Linked DNA regions of Rhinolophus ferrumequinum. The protein of the gene in region 3 interacts with the protein of the main gene of each other region in a pairwise test. Links are inferred from orthologs where the notes say so. Each region holds a gene or a part of one and is shown on either strand. Other genes may lie near its edges.

Region 1 (8,268 bases), on a different chromosome or scaffold from region 3:
TGGTCCAAGTGTGCCGATGAAGTTCCCCTAAGCTTATCATGAAAGTATTTCGAAGTCCTTACTTTTCACAAGCTAGTTTTTCTGCAGCTAGGAATGTTAATCAAAAATAAAATCCTTTACCTTTAAGGTGTTTACACTCCAAATTGGGGGAAGAATTCCAAACTTAATTGTGTTTCATGTATTTATTTAGAAGGTATATCAAAATTGAGCTAACTTTGGAAAAGTAGATATGGTTATAGGAGTGGTAATAAATCCTAATCTTGGGAGGTGGCAGAGAACAAAGAGCACGGAATTCACTCAAGATGGTGAAGTGCTGAATAGCTTTTTTTTTTTTAATATATTTTTCATGTCTTTAAATTTTCTATAGTAAATGTGTATTACTTTTAGAATCAAATGGATATATATTTTTTAAGTCTAGATTTTGGAGTCATTCTGACTCAGATTTAGATGCTGACTCTGTTATTTAAAGCTGTTTGTGATCTCAACCAAGTTAACCTCTCTGAGACTAGATTTTTTTAATTGATAAGAGATAATGAAATCCTCACTTGGTTATGGCGAGGGTCACATGAAAAGCTCCGGTCACAGTGACTGGCACACAGTAGTAATCAATAAATGTTAATTCCCACTTTCTCCCTACATGACACATTTTTTCTTTACAAAAATCTGATGATATACAGAGGGTGCCCAAAAAATGTATACACATTTTTTTAGAAAGGAGAAAACTGTATTAAAATCATAATACTCAATAGATACCGATAACAAAAGATGAATACAAGTCGTGTATATACATCTTTTTTGGTACCCCTGGTATATAACAGGTCCTTACAATGATCCCCACTCAAAGTCAAATCCATAAGGCCCTGTTACCTTGACTGAGGCTGGTCCCTTCCAGTTCAAGTACTGCTCTAGTTCTGTGCCCTTGGCCCGGGCCCTAGAGGAGTCAAACACTTTCCTCTTGGAACCATGTATCCTGCTGCAGACGTTGGAGTGTCTCTCCAGCCTGAGCAAGAGAAACTTGCGTCCACAGTGGCTGCACTTGCCAAGTTCTGGCTCTTGAGTGGAACAGCTGGAACCTGAAGAGTCTGGTGCCTTAGACAAGCTAGAATGGCGTGTGGATCCTGGCAAAGCACTGCCCGGCGCTTCTGAGGGCTGAGAAAAGTTCTGCTTCAACGGCCCCGAGACGTAGGCTCGGATTTTGTTATTGCTTGCCATTAGTCTTTCCCTTCTGAGCTTCTGTATTCCATAATCAGAAAAATGGAATGGACTAGAATTTTCTTGAGACCGTCCCCAAGTTTCATCCTCTTGCCTGTCTCGACCGAAGACCTCCTTAGACCTGTTTTCTGGGGAGAAGATAGGTTTGTACACAGTGTTGCTATTACCTTTACTTCTCCTCCTGGGAAATGTCATTCTCTGTGGCTCTCTTTTTGCCTTTTCCTCAGCCTGTTCCTTTTCTTTATGGATCCTTCTGAGTTCCTCCTCTGTCTTCTTCAGCTTTTCCCTTAGGAGGCTCTCTTTTCTTCGGATTTCCTCCTCTAAACTTTCTCCAGCAGCTTCTAGTCTTTGGATCTGTGTCCATTCAGTCCCATGGCGGTTTGGCATGGCCCTCTTCTCCTGCGTGGCAGCAACAGTACCAACCACAGATGAACTCACCCAGTTCCTTGAACCCAAGCTGCTGTATGAAAACTCTCTTGGCTCAGGGGGTCTGGGAGAGACATTCTGGTCCCCATCAGTGCCAGTCTCACGTGTACTACAAGACTTCCGATGGAATACGGGTTTCAGTGGGTATGCCCGGTCCACTCCAATTCGTTTCTTTGTAAAGGGGATGAATTCCTGGTTATGTGCTTTGGGGTACTGGGATTGAGAGCTTGATGAGTGAAACAAACCCTTTGCTTGGCCCCAGAGATTGTTTCTGGGATCCTGCTGGCTGATTCCAGCACAGTGGGGATGGTAGTAGCTCTGGGCTTTGGTGCAGGCGTTCCATTTGGAGTGAGTGTACAGATTATCCAGCGCCAGCTCATTGTTGCTCAAAAGCTTCTGCTGGGAATTGTTCCTCAGGTGCCCCATCGAGGAGCGCTGGGAAGAGCCATCTTTTTCATAGTGGTCTTGCTTAGCGGAATGGTTCCCTGGGGCATCTGCCTTATTATATGGGAGCATAACGCCCACAGGCAGAGGTGGAGCCAACTGGAGACCAGCCATTCAGGGCCTGGACTGAAGCCTAGGAGAGATTAAACCAGATATATGTGAGAAGTTTGTCTGAGGTTCACCCTGGTTGCTTAACTCAACTGTTTCTATCATACATTTGTCCTACCCACATTTTCCTTTAAACTTTCTAGGGACAGTGGTACTGGGTCTGCCAGAGCTCTCATTCAATAAGCATTTGGTGAGTGCTGATTATGTCCTGGGAGTGCATGTTAGGTCCTGAGGATAGAAAAATGAATGTGATATAGGTGTTCCTGCCACCTAGCTTTCCTTTATACCAGTACCAGCCTCTGCCATACAGTGCTGCGCCTGCCACACAGAGTATAGGCCATACTCGGTGGAAAGAGCTATTGGATTTGAAGTCAGGTTGTAGGCCTGTGACACAAGACGAGCAACTTCCCCTTCTGGCTCCAGTTTCTTCAGTACTCCTGCGTGGTACTGTTGCTGCCACGCAGGAGAAGAGGGCCATGCCAAACCGCCATGGGACTGAATGGACACAGATCCAAAGACTAGAAGCTGCTGGAGAAAGTTTAGAGGAGGAAATCCGAAGAAAAGAAACTGAGTGGTTCCCTCAGAGTTACATGACTGGAATTTAGGGACCTCAGGATTCCAAGTCCAGCCCCATCCTTTTACAGGTGAGAAAACTGCGGCCTAGAGGTAAGTGCCAGGGCTTCCCTCCTGCTGGAACCATGCTTGACTCCAAGGAGCACAGACGCTGCCCAGGGCCTGCAGCAGGGGCCTGGCTATCAAACCCTCACCCAACGAGTCCCCGCGGCTCAGAAGGCCAGGGGTTTGTAACTGAGAAGCGGGGGCCCCCTGACTTGGCCGCCGTGGGTTTTAGATCCGGAACGCGGAAGTCACGTTCCGTTCTGGAGGATCAGGCGGGGCGCCCCACTGGGGACTCTGCTTTGGGGACAAGCCCTCGCTTTTCTGTCTATCGGGCCTTTGGGAGGTCGAGGTGCTGACCCCACGTCTCCCCGTCCTCTCGCCTACCTGAGGCTCTCCAGGACAACTCCTGCTCAGGGGCAACCCCAAGACTTAGTTTTCCGGACCAGAACCCTACCAACCGACCGCCGCGCAGGCGCTCTCAGCTGGCCCCTGTTATTCCCGTTGCCTAGGAACGGGGTCGCGTGCGCTCCCAGCCCCGCCTCTCGCCTCTGTCGCCGCGGGGAAAGCACGCACAGGCGCAGTCCCGCGAGCGGTAGGGAGCCGCCCCGGAGGGAGGTGAGGTGCGCCGGGGTGTCACTTGACCCGGTGTCCGGCCAACTCTACAGCTTCGTCCAGCCCAGCCCTTGGGGAACAAGGGAGGGGACGGGAGAGGTTTTTCTGGGGCTCCATCAAAGAACTAGTATTTTTCTGAGAGCGATGACCCCAGACCCCGTGGTGTGCCCTTCTCGGGCAAAAGACGGCGCCCCTAGATGTGCCCTGGAGTCGTTCAGCCGCAGGATTCCGATGTCCGCCCCCGTAGCGGTAGTGAGCCTGCTGATAGTCTTGCTTAGCACGCTCGGCTGCTTCGTGCGCGCCCCAGGTATGGCTACACTGTCTCTCCGTGCTTTCCCTCACCAATAGTTTGGAGCTGGCGGTGAAATTATAGCAACTTGGCTAGGTTTTGCTACGCAGTATCTTTCTGGGATAGTTTTGTAGCCAGTGTAATTATTTTGATACGGTGTCTTACTCTCACGTGGTAACTCTGGCCGTCTCTTCATAGAGCCCAAGAATGACTCAACCACATGTAATGATAATAAAGTTAACTACTAGATCGAAAATAAGCAGTATAGCCTGGCTTCAACAGTAAGTGATACTCTGTGACCTGTTAACATCAGAAGAGTTTATTTGCCTTCATGCTTCAGTTCATTTGTGTAAGCTGTTTGGAACAGGCAACTGACTTTTTCCTTATAACTACGTAAAAGATTCATGCACATGGACGATAATATAGACAGTAGTAGTCACTGTTAATACTTCAACATATCATTACAGCTTTTACATATTACAAAGTAATTCCTTGTTGGGCCCTCCAGGGCTTTTCTTTTCCCCCCTTGTTTTCTTTCCTGGTTGACTCCCTATTTGCCTTCTTTATAGGACTCCTATATGGAGTTCCAGACATTTCCCACTCTTCTCAAGAGTCCAGTTATCTCAGCAACCCGCCTGCCTGTCAACTTCCACAGCTCCCCTCTAGTCTGGCCGAATTTCCTGGAGTGCTGACTTCCATCTTGACTTCCTTCTTGTTTTTTGAGGAAAAAGAATCTTTCTCTTTCCATGTGTTCTATTGAATGAGTCCCTTTCAGCATCCTCTAGGAATGGACTCCATGACTTTACCCCTCCATCTTGTTAACGTCAAGTTGTATCAATCCATATACTTTGGTTTTAAAATATGCTTAACTTCTCCTGCAAAACGAACCTCATTTCCCGTGACCTGTGGCCCCTTCCCCTAGGACCCCATTTATTTCTCCTCTGCTCCTCAAGACTTCTTAGTAGAAATTTTACATTTGCTGGCGCCCCTTCCTCGTCTCCTCTTCATTGTTCAGTCCATTGTGGTGTGGCTTCTACCCTTTCCACTTTGTTTAACTGCCAGGCTACCAGTGACTTTCCAATGACCAAAGACAAAAGCTGCTACTTCTTCAGCCTATTCATTTAACATTACTGACTTTTTACTTCCTTGGAACTCTGTTCTCACTTGATCCTGTGCCTTCTTGGCTTCTTTTTTTGTGTTCTTGCTCCGTCTTCTACAGGGCTATGTCTTTTCCTCACCTGTCCCCCAAATTTAGGTGTTCTCCAGAGCCCTCTTATTTCTCATATACATGCAGTTCCAGACTGCATATGGTTTCAACCAAATACTGAAATTTCAGGTGTCTTCTATGTTTAAATGGCATCTGGCTTAGCTCTCTCTCCTTGGTTACAGACTCAGATCTCCAACTGTCGATTTCGTTCCTCAGGAACCTCAGACTCAATGTAACAGAAAACAGACTCATGATCACCTCCCCACTCCCCCAATCCACTTCTTCTTCAGTGTTCCCTCTCAAACTAAAAGCATCAGTCACCTTCTACATCTCCCTCTTTGTCACACTCCCCTCTAACTGGTCAGCAGGCTCTGTTGAATTTATTCTGCAGTGTCTCTTATATATGACCCCTCCTTTACATTTCTACGACCCTAAGTGAGTTCTTGCTCACTTCTCATTGGGACGGCATGCATCACTCACCTAACTGCTATTCTTCCCTTCAACATCTGCATCCCAAGCCCATCCTTCATGCTGCTGCCAGAATAATTACCTACATAGTAATATTATTGTCCTACCCAGTGGCTTCTACTTTACCTATAGAATAAAGTTGAAACATGTAATCTGACATGGTATTTCCACCTACCGGATTAGGTCCAACCTACCTTTCCAGCCCTGCCCCCCCCAGAGTCTAGCCCAGTGAATCTCAACCTTGGCTGCGCGTGTTGTGCATGCTGTCCGTGCTTTAGCACTACCTGGAAGGCAATTTCTGGGGGTATCATCTGTATATCAGCATTTTTTTTTTTTACCATTGTGAGCAATGCTGTGATGATCATTTGTGCAATACCTATTTTTGGGATGGGTATCAGCATTTTTAAAAGCTTCCCTCCAGATCCTAATGTGCAGCCAGGGTTGAAAACCCCTGATCTAGCCACCCCTGACTAATTGCACTTTCTTACCTCAGCAGTACTACCTTACCCCAAGCTCCACATACTGGGAGGTGGTAGACATAGAATTTATGGGAGGGGGCTCTGTACTCAGACTGCCTGCAATTAAATCCCAGCTCCATCACTTACTGGTTGTGGTTGTGTAACCTTGGATAATATTTCCTCCAAGAATGTCTTCCCCATCTTCCCAGTCAAAATTAATCTCTTTGTTCCTTTATGCTCTCATGATGTTTTCTGTTCTGGTTACACCACAGGCCTGGCTTATGAGGAGCTCTTGATTGGTGTTCATGGAACTGAATTAGCATGTTGTACATTGTATTGTCTTTATTTGCATGCATGTTTGTTTCTTACACTAAATAAAAAACTCTTTGAGGACAAAGATTATATATCATTCAAATAATCTTTATATACCCTACAGTGTCCCATAAATAGTAGACACTCAATAGGTCTTTAATTCTATTGAGAAACTAGTTTTTTTAAAATGAATTTTGGAGAAAGAACACCAGCCAATTACTTTGTTTAGCATTATTTTCAAATATTGCCAAGCATAACATCCAATCCAGCTTCCCACCCTGCCCCCCACCCCTGTGCTAGCACTAAGGTTATATTTTCCAGGATCCAGAGCCTCACTTTGTAGTGGGGAACTAATGGAATGATTCCATTGCAAATCCGTCTCACCTTGCCAAGTCTGCCAATGTGGCATATTCACATATGGAGTCTTATGTTATGAAGGGATGTAATGTATACAAGCAATCCAAAGGGAACAGTAAACACAGTTTTCCTGCATACACATTCTTAATCACAAGGATAGCTGTATTCAAATGCCTACAAGGTGACCCTACTTTAAACAATCATCACGCACAACACCCCTTGACAATTCCCTTTGCCCAGAAGAAATTTATGCAATTTGGTCATTTGGCTTACATTGATTGATTCAATTGTGGTTCTGGAGCCATGGGTTATTTTGCTTGTGCTTGGGATTGATTTAGATAAGCGTTATTTGGAATGAGCAGCTTCCAGAAGCACAGAAAGAGAAATAACCACCCCTAGGACCTCTTACACACTTATCCTCGCTACTCCTAATTCCAGACTTAGGCATGACTTAAAATTTGAGAACTGAAAGAAAAAGTCAGTGCAGAAAGGTTGCATGTATTCTATTCAATTTGTTTGTTTATAATGTTTAATGTTTATTGCCCGTCTCCCATCTCCAGAAATTAAGCTCCTCTGGGCCAGAATCCTTTTGTTCACTGATGTATGTCTACCTAGAACTGCGCCTAACACACAGAAGGCTCTCAGTAAATATTTATTGAATGATTGGATTTATCTCAAGTGCTTCATCGTCTATATCTTTCTCCCCATGAGAAAAATGAGAAAAGAGGTGCTCTTGGTGACTGAGAAGGGTGAGGGCTCGGTCCGTAGAATCCGAGTTGAGAGTTCCTGGACAGATCCCCAGCCCTAGGCTCCCGAGAGGTCCCAGACAACCGGCCTCGAAATCCCACCCTCTGGGCGGGCTCTGGGCAGAGCCTGCCGTCCCTGATTGGTCAGCAGACATGATGGGCATGCGAAACAGCGAAGGAGGAACCCGCGCCCTGAGCTTCCGGGCGCGGCGGTTACGCGACTAGGAGAACCGTTGCGGTGGTGGTCGGGGTGTTGTGCCGGACTTAGAGGGTGAGCGTAGGACGGGACCCGGGGCGTGCCCATCAGTTCAATTGGCCCTAAAGTGTTGCTAGAAGGAGATTCTGGCGGCCGCGTGAAAGCCAGGTCCGTGGGAAGAGGAAGGGATGGAGAGGGAGCAGGACTGGTGTGGGGAGGTATTTGGCTAAACAGGTAATTGTCTCAAAAGAGGCCTCTGTGGGCAGTCGCGACCCGAAGCTCACTTGCCCAGGTGTCTTCTTCACACACCGTCGCTTACGCGTGTCCACTAGCGTACTCTGGAGTTCGGGGAGCTTAAGTCAGGGAGAGGTCGCAGTGGTTAAGAAGTGTGGATGTGGCCCTTTCTGCCTCAGAATTGGGGTTGCTGACGTAGGATAATGAGTTCTGTTTACTTTTCTGCTTTTCTGGTTTCTGACAGGTTTGAGCATGAGTATGGCAGAAGGGGACACCCTAATATCGGTGGATTATGAAATTTTTGGGAAGGTGCAAGGGGTGTTTTTCCGCAAGTACACTCAGGTATGTGGCCTGTAGACTTTGGGGACATGCCTAAGTTATTTCCTGACCGATGTGCATTGGGAGACGCTGGCTATTTGGCAGCTGCATGGCAAAGAGGTGGTTTGTAGAGCAATGGGTATGAAAATGCTTTGGGTAAAATACAATGCTGTTAGTTTTGGTCTCTTCTAACAGTAGTACTTGAGTACCTAGACTCATATTAATAAGCTTCTCTCTCTTCCAAAGGGGATTAGAGGGCTGCC
Region 2 (8,238 bases), on a different chromosome or scaffold from region 3:
ATAGAGGCAAATGTGCGTCTGGATCAACAGGGAGTCCAAGGTAGAGGACTTAAATAAAACACTGGGAAAGGAAGAAAGCTAGTAGTTTATGTCCATTTAAAGTTTGAAAACCTAGATTGAAATTTTAAGTTTATCACAATAGGTGAAAATGTTGAAGAGTGAAAGTAAGCTACACAGACACACACACACACACACACACAATGTGTTCTGTATGATTCTGCTCAGAAACAGGGAAAATTAAGCTCTAGTTTTCAGGATGCATATTTAGATGGTAAAACTATAAAGAAAAACAAGGTTTTTCCATAGGAGGTGATTACATAAGTCAGGACAGGGTTATGTGTAGTGAGCTTCTGGAGTGCCGGCAATGTTTTATTTCTTGCCTTGGTTGGTAATTAAACATGTACTTTACAATCGCTTGCTATGCATTTATATTTTATGACTTTGTTATTTCACAATAAAAAATAAGTTAAAAAAAAAAAACAATTTCAAGTACACAGATTACAGAATCATATTCAGAGGCGTTAGCAGTTTAACAAAAAACTAGGGCCAATACCAGAATAATTCATGTAGGTGAAAGCAAATATAGTTATTTAAACAAAAGGCACTCCTCTACCAGCCTAATTTTATGGTTTGCTTTGGTGTGGAGGCTCAAAGTCTACATATATACAAAACCATTCTAGCAAACTATCTGCCTAGGATGATAAACGTAGCACACCTGCCAACCAGAAGGTGTAATTCTCAAAGTGCTTACACCTCCTCACGATTAGTCACCGTTTCTAGATTCCTTAACTCACAGCAGAGGTAAAGAAGGCAGCTTCAGACAACAGAAGGCTCATCCCAGGACAGCTCAAGTAAGGAGCAGACACCAAACCAGCACCAGATCTCAGATGGTCCCCTCAGGACCTCCTCAGGACAATGACTTTCCCATTACCAGGAGTAAGCCCACATTTTTCCATGTGGAAATAATGAGAGTAAGAAACAAGGAAACTACTGTCACCATGAGACTGTCACCTCCTGAGCCACTTTCACTTTTCAATTAAAGCACCTGCCAAGGGCATCATCAAGATTAGCTTCCCTAACTAGACGCTGCACACCTGAGAATGGAGTCGTGCCCTCTCATTTCTGAGACCCCAGGGCTTTACACAGTTTCTGGAATATGGTATATGCTCATTAAACATGTGCTAATAAATAATTAATATACGGAGGTACAAACTAATGAATTTACAATGTTTTCCACCACATAGCTTCATTCCCACACAGTGCCACTTGCATTGAGAGTTTTTAAAGTAGTTAAAATGCCAGGTGGCAACTGCCCTTTTAACAAATTGCCAATATATCTTCTACTTCTTAAAAAAAGGTTTCATGGCATATATAATAATTTCAGAAGTGGAGAGGGCTGACAGGTTAATTATAGACACAAAGAGCAGGGACAAATGGACTATGAGGTAAGCGAGTCTAAATGTGCCTTCCCTGGACAAGCATTTATTAATAAGCCTGCAAAGATTTACTGGGCATGGCCAGATTCAGCTCTGTGTCAGGCTTGGGGTTGGGGGTTCGGATTAGGGGAAGGCACAGTTTCTGCGCTTGAGGAATTCAGTGGCTGGGAAGACAGCCTGTGCCTGCGAGAATAATCAAAGAGGTCACCTTGGGATGGCATATGGAAGACAGGGGGGAGACAGGGCCTAAGAACTGAATACGGCATCGCCTTTTGTGGGGCGCAGAGTGTGGGATGGTCAGAGAAGACTCCCTAAATCCACTAGGCCCACCTGGAAAGAAATGTGGGTAAGACTGTGGGCAGCAGAGAAGCCAAGAGTAGGCGCCTAATTCCTTTCCTCCTGCACTTCCCACATACTCCTTCAGCTGCTGGAAGTGGGGACTAAGTCAAAAGCAGCCGTAGGGATCTTCCCCTTCCCTCCCCACCCTCATAACCCCCTCCAAGCAAAAAGAGAGAGATTCAGATGGCTGGGGAGGCCAGTATAGGGTCACCGTCAGTAAATAGATGGGCCCAAGAATGGAATGTGAGCCCTTTAGGCAAGGTGTGGACAACAGGGGGTGCTTTTTTTTTTTTGCTCCCTTTACTGAAATATCATTCAGTCAAAAAATATTTATTGGTCCCCTCCTAGGTGCAGGCACTGAATGTGGCCACTCTCGGAGAGTGGGACACCAAGCTTGCCTTTAGCCCAGACCAGATGACCAAAGCCTGGGCCTCCAAACACTGAGTCTGGGTCTCTGAGATTTCTTGTGGTCTCCGATTGAACCTGTGCCCTCCCAGAGATGAGGCCCTTCTAAGAAGTTTTCAGTTACTCCTTTGACTTAAGTATCCCTGTGGGGAAAGGGCTGATCCGTTGATAATCCGGGAATGCTGAGAAGAAATATGTCCATGGCCATGGCCACCTCCTGCAGGGGGAAGGGTATGTCCAAGAGGATCTGTCCGGGCTTTATGGTTTCCAAACTTTCACCTTTTCTCCAAAAAGGAATTAGGGAGATGAGACGAGGCCGTGGCTGAGATCCAAAGAGTGGGAAACGAGTTGTTTCGGTTGTGTGTTTAAAGTTAATCCCACTCGCCCCCCACACTCCACCTCCCTTTCCAGGTCGTCCAGGGTGCTTCCAAACGACTTTCCGCCACTCTGCGACTTGTGAAGAACCGAGAAGTGCTACTACTATTCCCCAGCGTGCGAAATCCGCGGGGACCCCCAAACCCTCGCCGCTTCACAAAGCGCGTCCACACGCCCGGCCGCGCTTCCGGGGCGAAGGAACTCCAACTGCTCCCTTCTATTTCGCGGATTTGGCGAGTGCGCGCCCGGCCGCCGCCCGGCTCGCCCCGGAGCGCAGCGGCAGGGAAGGGGCTGCCGGGGGCGACGAGCCCGAGACGCGCGGAAAGCGCTCCACGCAAGCGCTCCCGGCGCACCTGGATGCGCCCGAGGTCCCAGCTCCGTCCCCAGCTCCCGAAACCGCCGTCTCCGACAGCGCTCGCCGGGCCCCAGCCTTCCCAGGTCCCCTGCGGGCCACGTCGCTCCCCAGGCTGGGAGCACCCTGCTCCCCTCGCGTCCCAGGTTGTTCTTACCCGGGAAATGGCGAGAGGCTGCTCGAAGTCCTTGCCCCCCACGAGGCGGAAGCCCCAGGGTCCCGGGCCCTGGAGCACTATTTGCTGGGTGGTCATGGCGAGGCGACAGCGAGCGTTGACCCGCGGGGACAGACGCGACTGGACGCGGCGCGACGCGCTGGGCTCCCGGGGAAGCTATAGGAGAAAGAGCGTGCGCCGCTGGCCAGGGGAGCCGGGGGCGGGCGGTAGCAGGGGCGGGGGCGGCTCCGCCCAGGCCGGGATCAGGCCGCCAGCCCCGCCCGTCCTCCCGCCTACGGCCCGCAACGGTTCTCCGCCCCGTGGCCCGCCGAGGGCCGCAGCTGGAAGTCGGTCCGAGAGCGCGGTGAGTCTAGTTAGGGGGCCCAGTTCCCAGCAGCTCCGCCCCGGACCCCAGCACCGCCCAGGGCACTAGGTGAGAGGCAAGCATGTTCCGACAGACCTGATCTATGCGCTTTTTAAAACGAGTTTAGAAGTGCTGTGCAAACTCAACCCTCTGAGAGCAGCTCCATCTTCACATTTGCTTTTTGTAAAAGAATGATGTGTTAAAGGTGCTTTCGAATGATCTCATTTGAGGCTATGAAGCAGTCAAGAGCTTTTAGCTCCATTTTACAGCCGTTGTAACTGTGTCGGCCTGTGGTTAGAAGACTTATCCGAGGCCACACAGCTGCCAGTCCGGGGCTCCGGTTGCTAAGGAAGCCCAGACAGGAACTTTCTAATGCTAATGAGACCATCGCACGTTGTTATAATTGGACTTCAAAACCTTCCTAGAAAAACTTTTCCTCCAGGCCGGATTTCCCTGTAGGTTCTGACCTTCCCAAGGGTTCAATCATCAAGTCAGGGGCGGGCCCCGGGCACTGGGTTGAGTAAGAAGACCTGGGTTGCCAGCCTGCCCCTAGCCTCCCATCTGGCCTCCCTGCCACCCTCGTCCCTTGAGTGCTTTCTCCGCGCCAGACCAGACCGTATCTCACGCTGTCCACTAGGTCCCCTCCTAACTCTGAGTAAAGCCAAAATCCTTAAAATGCTTATAAGACCACCCACAATGACGCCAACTCCTCTGACCTCATCTCTTCCAGATGCCCCCCCCCCCCCCCCACCACCACCACCACCACCACCACCACCACCGCACCCTGGCCTCCTTGCTTCTGCCTCAGGGCCTCTGTCTGGAATACTCTTCTCCTAGACATCCCTTGGCCCTCTTTGTTCTGATGTCATCCTCTCTGAGCTCCCTACTTAAGATCTCCTGTCGAGATCCTTTTCTCCACTGTATTTCTTGCTATCTGACATACTCAATATTTTACATATTATTTGTCCCACCTCGAAGCATTAATTCCATGGAGGTAGAGTTTTTATCAGTTTTAATCACTGCTGTATCCCAGTGCCTAGAATAGTACCTGGCACATAGTATTCAATGAATGCAATGCATTGTCCATTCTTTTGACCACTTACCTTCTTCTGGGACCCAGGTTCTTCATAGTTTTCTTGGCACTCATTCATCCTGGCACCAGACCCCAATGCAGTGCTTGACACAGAACACATGCTTAATGTATATGAGATTGTGATTTATAAAAAACATGTATTTGGTCACTCAGATGACCAAAAATGTATTTCTCATATATACTTGGTCTTCATCCACAATTCCTGGCTCACAGCTCCCCAAAACCTTGGAATTTCCCAAGTGTTGAGAATGATAAAGGTGTCTTTTGTTATGTGAATGAAATGACCTTTAAAAAGCATCTAAGGAGGGGGGCTGGTTGCTAGGGGAACCAACGAGGTCATTAGAGGTTGAGAATTTTCAGTCCCAACCCCCACCCCCACCTGTTGGAAAGGGAGTGGAGCTGGAGATTGAATCAGTCGCCAATGGCCAGTGATTTAATCAGTCATGCCTATGTAATGAACCCTCCATAAAAACAGACTGACTCTAACTCACAGGTTCCACCCTCCTCTTTGAGTTCCATGAATTTGCTTCTGAGAGCTTCCGGGTTGGTGAACACATAGAGATGCTGGGAGAGTGGTGGGCAGGGAGAGGGCACGGAGCCCCTTCTCACAACCCTTACCCTGTGCATCTCTTCCACCTGGCTGTTCCTGAGTCATATCCTTGTCCAAAAAAACCAGTGATCTAGTAACATGTTTCTCTTCGTTCTGTGAGCCATTCTAGCAAATTAATCCAAAGGGGGGGGGGGCCTCTGATTTATAGCCAATTGGTCTAAAGTACAGGTAACAACCTGGACTTGTGATCGGCATGAGTTGGAGGGGGTCGTTGAAACCTCTAGTCTGTAGCCAGTTGGTCAGAAGCACAAGTATGAGTTCGAAGTGTGTGTGTGTGATGGGGGAAGCAATCTTGTAGGACTGAACCCTTAGCCTGTGGAATCTGATGCTTTCTCCGGGTAGACAGATAGTGTTAGAATTGAGCTGAATTCCCAGACACCCTGATGGTGTCTGAGAATTGTTTGTTGGGGTGGGGGGATACTCCCCACATTGGAATTGGGCCCAGGAACCGAGTTTAATGTCTGTTAAAAGCAGGGTTGTCTCCTTGTGATGCAGGCCTACCTACCCAGGAGCCCTGTGCACAGATTTACACACCAAAGGATCATCTCACTTGTCTGATTGCATCTCAGCACAAATGCCTATGTTTAGGAATGGTTTGCTTGTATTTAGAAATCAGAGTGGATTTGGGTTATCTATGCATCCCTCCCGTCCCCTTGCATCCTGATGTTCTTTCTTGAATCTGAGAAAAAGGAATGGAGTTAAAGCCAGGAACCCGCCACTTGCTTCATTGAACCCCCAAATCCACCCACTTTGATTAAGATTCTGCTGATCAGACAACATGTTAGTGTTTCAAGCCCCTGCAGAATTTTGTGGAATCGCCAAATTCTGAGTCTGGCCTTAGATGTGTAGCAGTTTTGAATATTTTGTGACCTAGAAGGAGAAAAGGGTTGAAAAGCCTTATCCTGTGGCCCCCACGGGGGGGGGGCTGCCTCTCATTCATCCCCGTGTGTCCTGCTAGCACACACCTGATACATCGTAGGTGCCAAGAGTTCTTGTTCTACACAATATTCTTTATAGATTAGAGCAGTAGTACATTTGTGAGGGCGGTGAGTCCTCAGCTGCTTCATTTAGTTGTTAAATGTTCTCAGATGTAGTCTGGATCTACATAGCAAGAGCTTTAAAACAGTCAACCCTGTGACCCAGTCATCCCCTTTCTGGGCACGGATACCAAGAACATAATTTAAAAGAAGAAAAAAGCTATATGTACAAAGATATTTATAGCCTCATTTTTTATAACAAAAAACTGGAATAAACCAGTAACAGAAAAGTAGCTAAATATGGTATGGCCATATGAGGGAATACTATGCAGCATGAAAATGACGGCCACGACGGCTCTGAGGAGACAGGGAAAAGTGTTTTCAGAAAGTGTAAAAATAAGCAGAACAAAATTATTAAAGCAAATATTATTGTCAGTTTTATGTTAAAAAAATAAAAAACTGTCTTCCTATTGCTAAAAACTAGGAAAAAGTACAGAAACTAACTTTCTATTGGGAGATGGAATTGGGGAATTTTTAAAAAATAATTTCCTCTAATGATGATGTAAAAAAATCAATAAAATGGTCTCAGTGCCCTGTATCGGAGACTACATGTCAGTCATTCTGGGGGTAGGAAACCTCATCTTCTATGTTTTTAATCTCCAACAGCTAGCTCTGAGCTGGGCGCACAGCATGTACTCAGAAAACACCCAGACGCATTGACAGCTCTGACCCCCCCAAACACCAGCAACCCTGTCTAATTTTAAACACCATTACTTATTTATCCATACTCCCCAGTTCCCTCAGACCCTTGACTTCTGTGGAGGCCTTAAACAACCTCTCTGAACTTTAGTTGCCTTGTTATTATTATAATGCATTCCATAAAAGTTTGTTGACCTAAACAGCCTCCATCAAATATCTGGATAGAGGGGTAGAGTGGGGGAAGGGGAGAATGTAGGAGACTGCTGGAGAAATGGAAGCAAGGAGGACAGGAAAAAGACAGAGGAATGGTCCCGGAAGTGGGAGTGGCGGGGGACAGTGGGTCTTTCCAGCTGTCAGTCCAGTTTTACAACATGGACAGGGTGGGAGGCGTCTGCTGGCACATTCCCCCAGTCTGGCTTCTGCAGAGCTGGCAATGCCCGCACCAGGATGTCATTGCCAGGACTCTCCAGAGCCACTAAGCGGAGACTTTGCTTCCTGAAACAACAGTCCCATTTCTTAAGAACAGAGATGAGAACTGTGCTAAACTTTATACATGATCTTATTTAATCTCCAGGACAAGTCCTGAACTCGCCCAGGTGACTGCCGAGCTCCCATTCCTGGAGATCGCTGCCAGGACCCCTCCTCTGGGGCTGAGCGTTTTAGGCCCCCACCCAAGTGGGCGTGTGGGTGACTCCCAGACTCTACGCCCAAGCTGGGATCTGAGGCCGGCTCTGCCCAGCACCGAGAGACAGCCGGAAGCTCTGGTCTGGAGGCTGCCGGGCCAGGCGCACAGCGGCTCCCACGTCCCCAAACCCGCGCAACTGCGGAGGGCGCCCTGGTCAAATAACACTCGAGTGGCATGTTTTCTCTTTTCTGTAAAAACCGAAACCCAAGCTCAAAGACTCGCGGAACAAAAACATCTTTTCCTGCCGCCAGGTCCGGTTCCGCAGGTCTGGTCGCGCGCGTTCAACCACCAACCCGGCTCCCAGGGCAGTGCAGTTCTTTGCTGGGATCCCGCGCGCGCGCGCGGTTCGTCCGTGTGCGGTGTGCGGTTCCAGGACAGTCTGACGATGGGATGCGCAATGGGAGGTGCCTTTGGCTGCGCCAGGGCCTGGATAGAGAATTGGGCACCCAATTTTTGCTTTTCTCCCGCTTCCTGCTTCAGCCCAAAGGAAATACTGAAGTGGCCAGTGGGGATTGGGTGCCTCTCAGATTCTAGTAGGCACAGAGCATGCTCCGTGGCGCGTAGCGCTATAAGGACACCTGTACACCAGACCTGGTTGGAGTTCCCTCCGGGTTGGTAAGGGCGTGGACAGATGAGTTTGTGGTCCGAGGCCAGCCCAGTGCCTAGTAGACAAGGAATTTAGGGGACAACCCAAGAGCCGCAGTTATATTGCCCACCTGCCTCGTGGCCCCCACCTGAACAGGTGGCAC
Region 3 (7,762 bases):
AACCCCTGCCCTGAAGGAGCTCCCAGCTGACTGTGAACCATGGGTTCTCACATCAGGGAGCTCCCATCCAAGGGGAGAGGGTGACTCCTGTCCTGTGGGTACCTTAGTCAGAAGTGGGAGACATCTTATTTTTAGGGTGATCCCAGTCTGATGAGACATAGGTCTTAGCATTAGGAAGTCCCATCCATGGGGGGAGGCACGGCCCCTTTCCTTGGGAAGCCTCAGGCTGAGGTGCAGAAAAGACCCACTCCTATGGGAGATGTTGACACACCAAGAACTTCTCAAACTGAATAGAGTTGGGGCCTGTAGTCTCGGGTTGAGGCAGAGCAAGGATGGAGGAGACAGGGAGGCGGGAAAGCAGGCTGGGAAACAGCCTCAGCTCTGAGTCTCCTCTGGGGCAGGTGGAGATAGTTTGTATGTGTCCCCTGACGGCTAAGCCAGCAGTGGTCTAGGCCAAACGGTGCTGACTCCCACACTCTCCTCACTGGGTGCTACCCCCGGCCTCCTATCCACACTGCCAGTAACTGCCCGTTGTGTGTGTGTGGGTCGGAGTAGGGGGCTGCCCACACACTGTCCTCTGTCCCTCCCTCATCCCCAGTGGAGTCAATAGGACATGGCAGCCCTTCTGGTGGACCCAGCTCCCACCCCTCTGAGCTCACCCCATCACAAATGTGCTAACATGTAGATATGTGAAGCACCTGGTAGGTGTTATGAAATAGTAGCTATGATTTGTCGAGCGCCTGCTATGTCTGGCTCTCACCGATTTTATCCTCATAACTGCCAAGGAAGTAAGTATAGGGAGTCCGCATTTTACAGATGTGAATATGGAGGCTCAGAAGGTTCTGGAAGTCAGCCAATACCATACAGCTATTGAGTGGCCATGGCTTTGCTCTCTGACCTAGAGGGCATTGCCATAGCAGTCAGAGGCAACTCTAGAGAATAAGGGGGTGATGCTTCTTCTATGTGATACAAATTTGGGTTTTGGAAAGCCTGCCCACTACGGCTGAGACCGCTTTGTCCCTGCCTCTGAAAGGCTGCGGCCTCACAGCCACTAGGACCTGGGCAGCTGAGCACTGCCATCTAGTGGCCGTGAGCGCCAGGTTCCCTTTCTTAGGGCTGGGCCATAAGATGGACAGACTCAGCAGTCTGCAAGGGGTCAGCCAGAAAGACCCATATTCTTTTCATCCCACCCACGTTTGCTGCCCACCATGCTGTGCCAGGCACCGGGAGAGGGGCAGGGGCTTGAGTGGAGCCAGTGGGCAGCAGTCCAATGGCAAAACAGCCACTTGAATTAGAGGCTGGCAAATTTGGAAAATGCTGGGCACCTCGTGTGTGCGTTGAGGCCAGGTGTGGTATTGGTCTGGAGGCCTTTGGGCTCTGTGGGTAAGAGGGCATCCTGGCAGGTTTTGATATAGGGAAGGGGCACAGCGAGTAGGAGGTCACCTCGTTCTCATCTCAGCTTGAAGCAGGGCACGGCTTGGCTGAAGGCCCTGTGCGGGGCGCCCAGGCATCCTCTCCCCCTGGCCTTTAGCTTTCTGTCTAATCCAGAAGGTGGTCTAGGGATTGGCCTGAGGCTCCAGATGTTGAGGCCCTCGGGTTGGGGAAGCAAGAGAGGAAGCACCATTTGATGGGGCAGGTGTGCATGATAGTGTGATCTGAGAGAGAGAGAGAGAGAGAGAGAGAGAGAGAACATAACTATAATTTGGTTAAATGAATGCATGTTGTGAAAAACCATGCAGCTGTTAAAATGATGATGTAGATAAATATTTATTGATATGGAAAAATGTTCACAACATATTGTTGACTGAAAAAAAGCAAATTACAAAGTAATTTGTACAGCATGAGCCCACTTGTAAAAAACTGAATTTATATGTGTGGGGAAAAAATCTGGTAGTGTTTATCTCCAGGTGGCAAAATTATGGTTAATTCCCTTTTTTGTGTGTGTGTCTGTGTGTATCTGTAATTTCTAATTTTTCTACAATGAATGTGTAATAAAAAAGTAATGAAAGTGGGGCACACAATCACAACCAAGTCTTTCTCCCTAGTTGGCTCTCTGTTACCTATCTTGAGATAGGTAAAGGCTGAGTTCCGGGATGGGTCTGAGGGTTGGATGGGGCTTAAAGATGGAGCAAGAAGCCTGGGCCTATGACAGGGGCCCAGGGAGGTGGCTGAAGGGGGTGAAAGTGGGGCCTCCATTTGCTGCTGCTGAAACACACCTGTATCTCACGCATCATTCAGCATCACTGACAGGCACCTCTTACTCTTGTTCTATCTTTTCTCTCCAGGGCTGCGTGGCACTCATTTCAACTAGATTTCATTTACAAGAAGAGGAGGTTATACACTGTGACTTGCACGGCAAGCTGGAAGGCCAGCCACTCCTGGCCACAGAGAACAGGATAAGGGTTTGTCCCCAGTCTTGCTCTTCCTTTAAGAAGCCCTGTCCTTCCCCAGCTCCCAAACCCACAGCTGGATCAAAAGTCACTAGGCGCCCTCTCCTCAAGATTCTCCTTCCCATGTCACTGCTCTGGCCCTGGCTAGAGACATAGGGACTCTTACCTCTTCTCTCTGCACTAAGAGTCACAGGGGAAACCTCAGCAGGCAGCTCATATCATGCCCAAATGAAAAGCATCTCTCCCAGCGTGGGGTAAGGGTATGGCCTGGGCTGGGGCTCAGGGGCTTGGGCTGGGTCTGAGAGCTGGGGAGAGGGTGAGCAGTCAGGCCTTGTCTGCGGAGCTGGAGACCTGGCAATGCTGGGCTGGCCACCCCCCAGGGCCTTCCCCAAGTGCCCACTGAATGACTCACCTTGGCACAGATACAATGGCCAGGGGTGGGCACAGAGCCTGCTCCCAGCTGCGCCCCAGCCCCCCTCAGATGTTTTCCGAGAAGCTCTTTGAACAGGGGGCTTGGGCTGTACCCCGCCTAACAGCCTGGCATCTTGGGGTAAAAACAGCACATCCCCCTGGGGGCCGCCTTTGCTGTGTGGCGCCCTCACTGGCGGTGGAGAACAAGGCTCCATTCAGCAAGTGTCCGGGAAAAAGCATCAGAGGCCCAGGCATGGGCAGTGCACAGAGTGAGGGCAGGGAGAAGAAGGCTGCCCGCTTCTCAGAGGTCCAAGGACACAGATGGGTGGGGGTCCTGGGCAGAGTGACCAAGGGCAGGGAGAAGAAGGCTGCCCGCTTCTCAGAGGTCCAAGGACACAGATAGGTGGGGGTCCTGGGCAGGGTGACTGAGGGCAGGGAGAAGAAGGCTGCCCGCTTCTCAGAGGTCCAAGGACACAGATGGGTGGGGGTCCGTGCAGGGTGCCAACCCTGCAAGATGACAGTAGAAGGGGTAGAGAGATTTGAAGACCCAAGGGGCAACAGGGTCCAGGTTCCAGGTTCTCAGTTTAGACCCGGTGGCTCCTGGGTTCCCAAACCCACCATCCCAGAGGCCTTTCCCATGTTCTCAGCCTGATATGTGGGAACTCGAAGGAGATAAATCTCCAGTGAGAGTGAGGTGAGGGGTGGCCAGGGAAACAGGGTATTGCAGGAACAAAGATGGGAATAGGGACAGCCAGCTCATTCATAACTGCTTTGTGGAGTTGTCAAGGCGCGGGCTCGGGGGATGGGGTGCAGGGACACTGGGCGAGGGAGGGTGAGACCGAGGCGGGGGCTTAAGAGTGGCCCAGGGTGAGAGCCAGAGAGTGCAGTGCCTGCTCCCTCTTGCCCTCTCAGGACCCCCAAGTTCCTTCCATCATCCCCCCTCTGTTAGACAGAGGCCTCAATTGACCCCGCAAAGGGCTGGTGTCCAATTCTAGTCAAGAGTCTCAGAACTCCAGGGAATGGGGAGAAAGCAAGAACGTGGGCTGCCTGTGTTCAGAGGGGAGGTCTCCAGCAATCTGTTGGAAACGGGGCTCAGCAGGAATCTGTAACATACACGGTTCCTTGAGTGTATGGAACAGGTTTGTATTTGTCAAATTGCCAGCACCTAGCAGGCACTAGAAGGAGGAGTGCTGAGTGAGGGAAGGCCTGGGTTATAGGATGTAAGAGTTGGAAGGTCAGAGGTCAACTGGTCCAGCCCTTTCTTGACCCACCTTCCTAGAGAGAGGGTCTCTTGCCCAGTGACCAGGCCCCAGGCCCCACATCTGGCCCCAGGCACTGCCCATCCGTACCTCTGTCTGTGCCCAGGAGGCCCTGCCTCTGGTGGGGTGAGGAGCTCTCCCCATGGCTGGGATGCAGCCCAGCCCCACCCCCTCAGGCTATGCCAGAGGGTGCTGCCAGGGGCAGTCTGAGCAGTGCCAGGCCAGCCCACTCCTCCATAAAGCTCTCACATCCCAGGAGCCAGCAGAGCCAGACCAGGATGGAGAGGAGACGGGCCACCTCAGCTGTGGCTGCGCGCCGCTCCTATGTCTCCTCCTCCGAGATGGTGGTGAGAGGCCTGACTCCCAGTGGCCGCCACCTGGGTCCTGGAACCCGCCTCTCCCTGGCTCGGATGCCACCCCCACTCCCAGCCCGGGTGGACTTCTCCCTGGCTGGGGCACTCAACGCTGGCTTCAAGGAGACGCGGGCCAGTGAGCGGGCCGAGATGATGGAGCTCAATGACCGCTTTGCCAGCTACATCGAGAAGGTGCGCTTCCTGGAGCAGCAGAACAAGGCGCTGGCTGCTGAGCTGAACCAGCTGCGTGCCAAGGAGCCCACCAAGCTGGCTGACATCTACCAGGCTGAGCTTCGCGAGTTGCGCCTGCGCCTTGATCAACTCACCGCCAGCAACGCCCGGCTGGAGGCAGAGAGAGACAATCTGGCACAGGACCTGGGCACCCTGAGGCAGAAGTGAGGAGAGGGCCAGGGGAGAGGGGCCTCGTGAGCAGGGAGGACTGAGCCCCTAAGAGGAAGTGCCTGCAGGCCTGCTGGGTCTGGGGAGGGAGGGGCCTCTGTCGCCCTGTTCCCTGGTTTCTGCTCCTCTGGGAGGGACTGGAAGAAGGCCCAGAGCCTCAGGGATCTTATTCCCAAAGACCGTCAGCACCTCCACACCGGGGAGCCCTGTGCAGTAGTCAGGGACCCCAGCAGGCAGGGCCTGTGCCTTTCATTCACTGTGGGGCATTGTGACCGTGGGCGGGGAACTCACCGATTCTGAGCCTGCGTCTGTCTAAAGGAGGAATTGGAAGGGAAGGTTGGTTTGCACGAGGAGGACGGAGCTCTGGGGTAGAGGGAATGCGGGAAAGAGCAGGCAGGCCTGGCTTCAGAACACAGGTGACTGCCTGTCACCAGTTCGTGATCAGAGTCAAGGCACTCAGCATGCACAGCCGTGAAGCGGAGATCTTAATAAAATCCATTTCCAAAGGCCAGAGGAAACCCCAGGGGCTTGGTGCTCTGCTGAGCTGGCCCAGCATGCATTTGTGCCCTGGAGTGCAGGAGGACGTGTGTGTTTGTGCGTGCAGCAGTGAGTGCACGTTGGTGGAAGCGCCTGTGTGAGCAGCAGCAGGTGCAGCAACCCTGATAAGGCCCCTTAGTAATGAGTTGAAACAAAGGCGCTTCTCTGCTCACTCTTCTGGCCAAGGTTCTGTGTAAGACCCCTCTGCCCCTCACTCCTCCTGCCACTCCACTTGTCATGGGGGTCTGTCTGGCAGCCACCTCCAGGGGCCGGGGTCCAAGAGTCCTCAGAAGAGCCTTGACCCAGGAATGTGTCCCCCTACCCCAGGTTCCAGGATGAAACCAACCTGAGGCTGGAGGCTGAGAACAACCTAGCTGCCTATCGACAGGTCAGGAGGGTGGAGGGGTGGGGCACAGGAGGGGGGAAAGTGTTGATGGCAGCCCACCCAAACACAGCCCCAAGCCCAACCCTCCCGAGCAATGTGCTGCTTTTCTAGCTCCAGAAGGGGAGATCAGACAAAGCTAGCGAATGAGGAAGAGTCTGGAGTCACAGCAGCCCTTTGTCTCCTCCCTATTCCAGGAAGCAGATGAAGCCACCCTGGCCCGCCTGGACCTGGAGAGAAAGATTGAGTCTCTGGAGGAGGAAATCCAGTTCTTGAGGAAGATTCATGAGGAGGTAATGCTGGAGCAGAGGGACGAAAGGACAACACAGAGATGAAACAGAGAGAGAGAGACTCAGAGACAGAGAGAAAGAAACAGAGACTGACAGAGAGAAAGAGAGAGATTTAATACAGGAAGAGAAACAGATGCACAGAGAGACTGAGGGAGACAGAGACAGACATGAGAACATCAACAGCCCCTGGTAAAATGCACACAGACACACACTCCACTTACTGAGAATTACAAGGGCCTGTTGCCTCATTTTTTCTTCACTACAGCTTTGTGAGATAGGAACCCTTCCAGTATTACCTTTTTCACAGAGAAGGACACTGAAGCTCAGAGGTTAAAAAACTGGCTAAGGTCACACAGGCAGTCTCTCTGACTCCACTCCCTCTGCCATCTCTCTCCATTTAAGTGAGAACCATTCATAATAAAAAAAGATCCCTCTGAGCTCTGACCTCAGATCATAGATTCAGCATCCATGACCCTATGGACCCTGGGAACCCCTAGGCACACCTACTCCCCACAGGGACTCAGTCACTCTCCCATGAGGACCCAGGCACACTTTCAGTGCTCCTGCCTGTCCAGGCCTGGGAGGAGGACAGTGAGGCCCCCAAACTAGCCCATGCCTCCCCTAACCTGGACTAGTCTCCCCATGTACTGGGACTGTCCCATTCCCCTTAGCCAACGTCTGAGTCCGAGGGGCTGGCAGAAGAGGATCTGATGCTGTGGGGAACCCCGGTTGCAGCCTGTTCCCCTGAGCCCCGCTATCCCTTCTCTTACCCGGGCCAGGAGGTGCGGGAGCTCCAGGAGCAGCTGGCTCGGCAACAGGTCCATGTGGAGCTGGATGTGGCCAAGCCGGACCTCACAGCAGCCCTGAGAGAGATCCGTACACAGTATGAGGCCGTGGCATCCAGCAACATGCACGAGGCGGAGGAGTGGTACCGGTCCAAGGTAACCCTGACTGGGCCAGCCAGCCTCCTCCAGGCAGCCCTCCTGGCTCCATGCAAGAGAATTGGGGAAGGAGGGTAGAGGAAGCTGGGAGAGGATCCTCTCTGGTGACTGACCTTCACCAGAGAAGTGAGGTGACTTGCCCAGGGTCACATACGTACCATTAAGTACTTATTATTATTTTTCATCATAATAAATAGGAGTAATATTTGTTACTATAACTAGTTGCTACTAAACACTGTTGTATGCCAGGCCCTCTGCTTTGAATGGATTATCTTACTATGAAGTAGGGACTGTTCTTTGACAGATGAGAGAACTGAAGCCCAGAAAGGTTAACTAATTTCCCCAAAGTCACACAGCTTCTAAGGGTTAAAACTAGATTTCCAACCCCTGCCATTTCACTTGGGAGCCTGCGTTCTTGATGCCTCCGCCATCTGTGTCCTGGGTTGTTGATCATCTCCTGCATGCCAGACACTGCCCAGGCTACAGAGGTATGTGTGAGCAGGGAAATGTGCTGGGCACCACACATGGTGTCTGTAGAGAACACTGCAGGGCAGAGTCTATATGCAATGTGGGGATCAGGGAAGGTACCATAGAAGGAAGGGCATTTGGCCTAAGCAGGGCTGGCAGGTTATGGACATGAAGAGAAAAGGAAAGGGGCATTCTGAGCGCAGGACAGAGCCTGTGCAGAGGCCTGGAGACTGAAAAGCACAAGAGGTGGGGGCCCAGAGATGGTCGCCCAGGGCACCGAGCTGAGCAGTGTGAGTGGCAGAGGCCAGTGATGGTTCTGAGCAGACTGAGGC

The links.
Region 1: the proteins of GFAP (region 3) and ZC2HC1C interact in binary tests that used the Homo sapiens proteins (3 or more experiments, as listed by UniProt). The link is inferred for Rhinolophus ferrumequinum from reciprocal best matches to the Homo sapiens genes GFAP and ZC2HC1C.
Region 2: the proteins of GFAP (region 3) and PDLIM1 interact in binary tests that used the Homo sapiens proteins (3 or more experiments, as listed by UniProt). The link is inferred for Rhinolophus ferrumequinum from reciprocal best matches to the Homo sapiens genes GFAP and PDLIM1.

What each region holds. Positions count from the first base shown.
Region 1 is NC_046289.1:23,538,190-23,546,457, forward strand, and holds the start of ZC2HC1C (zinc finger C2HC domain-containing protein 1C), read right to left. Parts: upstream 3,307-8,268; 5' UTR 3,193-3,306; intron 2,216-3,192; 5' UTR 2,197-2,215; coding exon 868-2,196; intron 1-867. Other genes in the region: DNA mismatch repair protein Mlh3, read left to right, coding at 3,565-3,727, 7,932-8,029.
Region 2 is NC_046299.1:28,006,596-28,014,833, reverse strand, and holds the start of PDLIM1 (PDZ and LIM domain protein 1), read right to left. Parts: upstream 3,307-8,238; 5' UTR 3,161-3,306; coding exon 3,065-3,160; intron 1-3,064. UniProt on the Homo sapiens protein: Cytoskeletal protein that may act as an adapter that brings other proteins (like kinases) to the cytoskeleton. Involved in assembly, disassembly and directioning of stress fibers in fibroblasts.
Region 3 is NC_046304.1:39,784,405-39,792,166, reverse strand, and holds the start of GFAP (glial fibrillary acidic protein), read left to right. Parts: upstream 1-4,306; 5' UTR 4,307-4,338; coding exon 4,339-4,808; intron 4,809-5,676; coding exon 5,677-5,737; intron 5,738-5,928; coding exon 5,929-6,024; intron 6,025-6,800; coding exon 6,801-6,962; intron 6,963-7,762.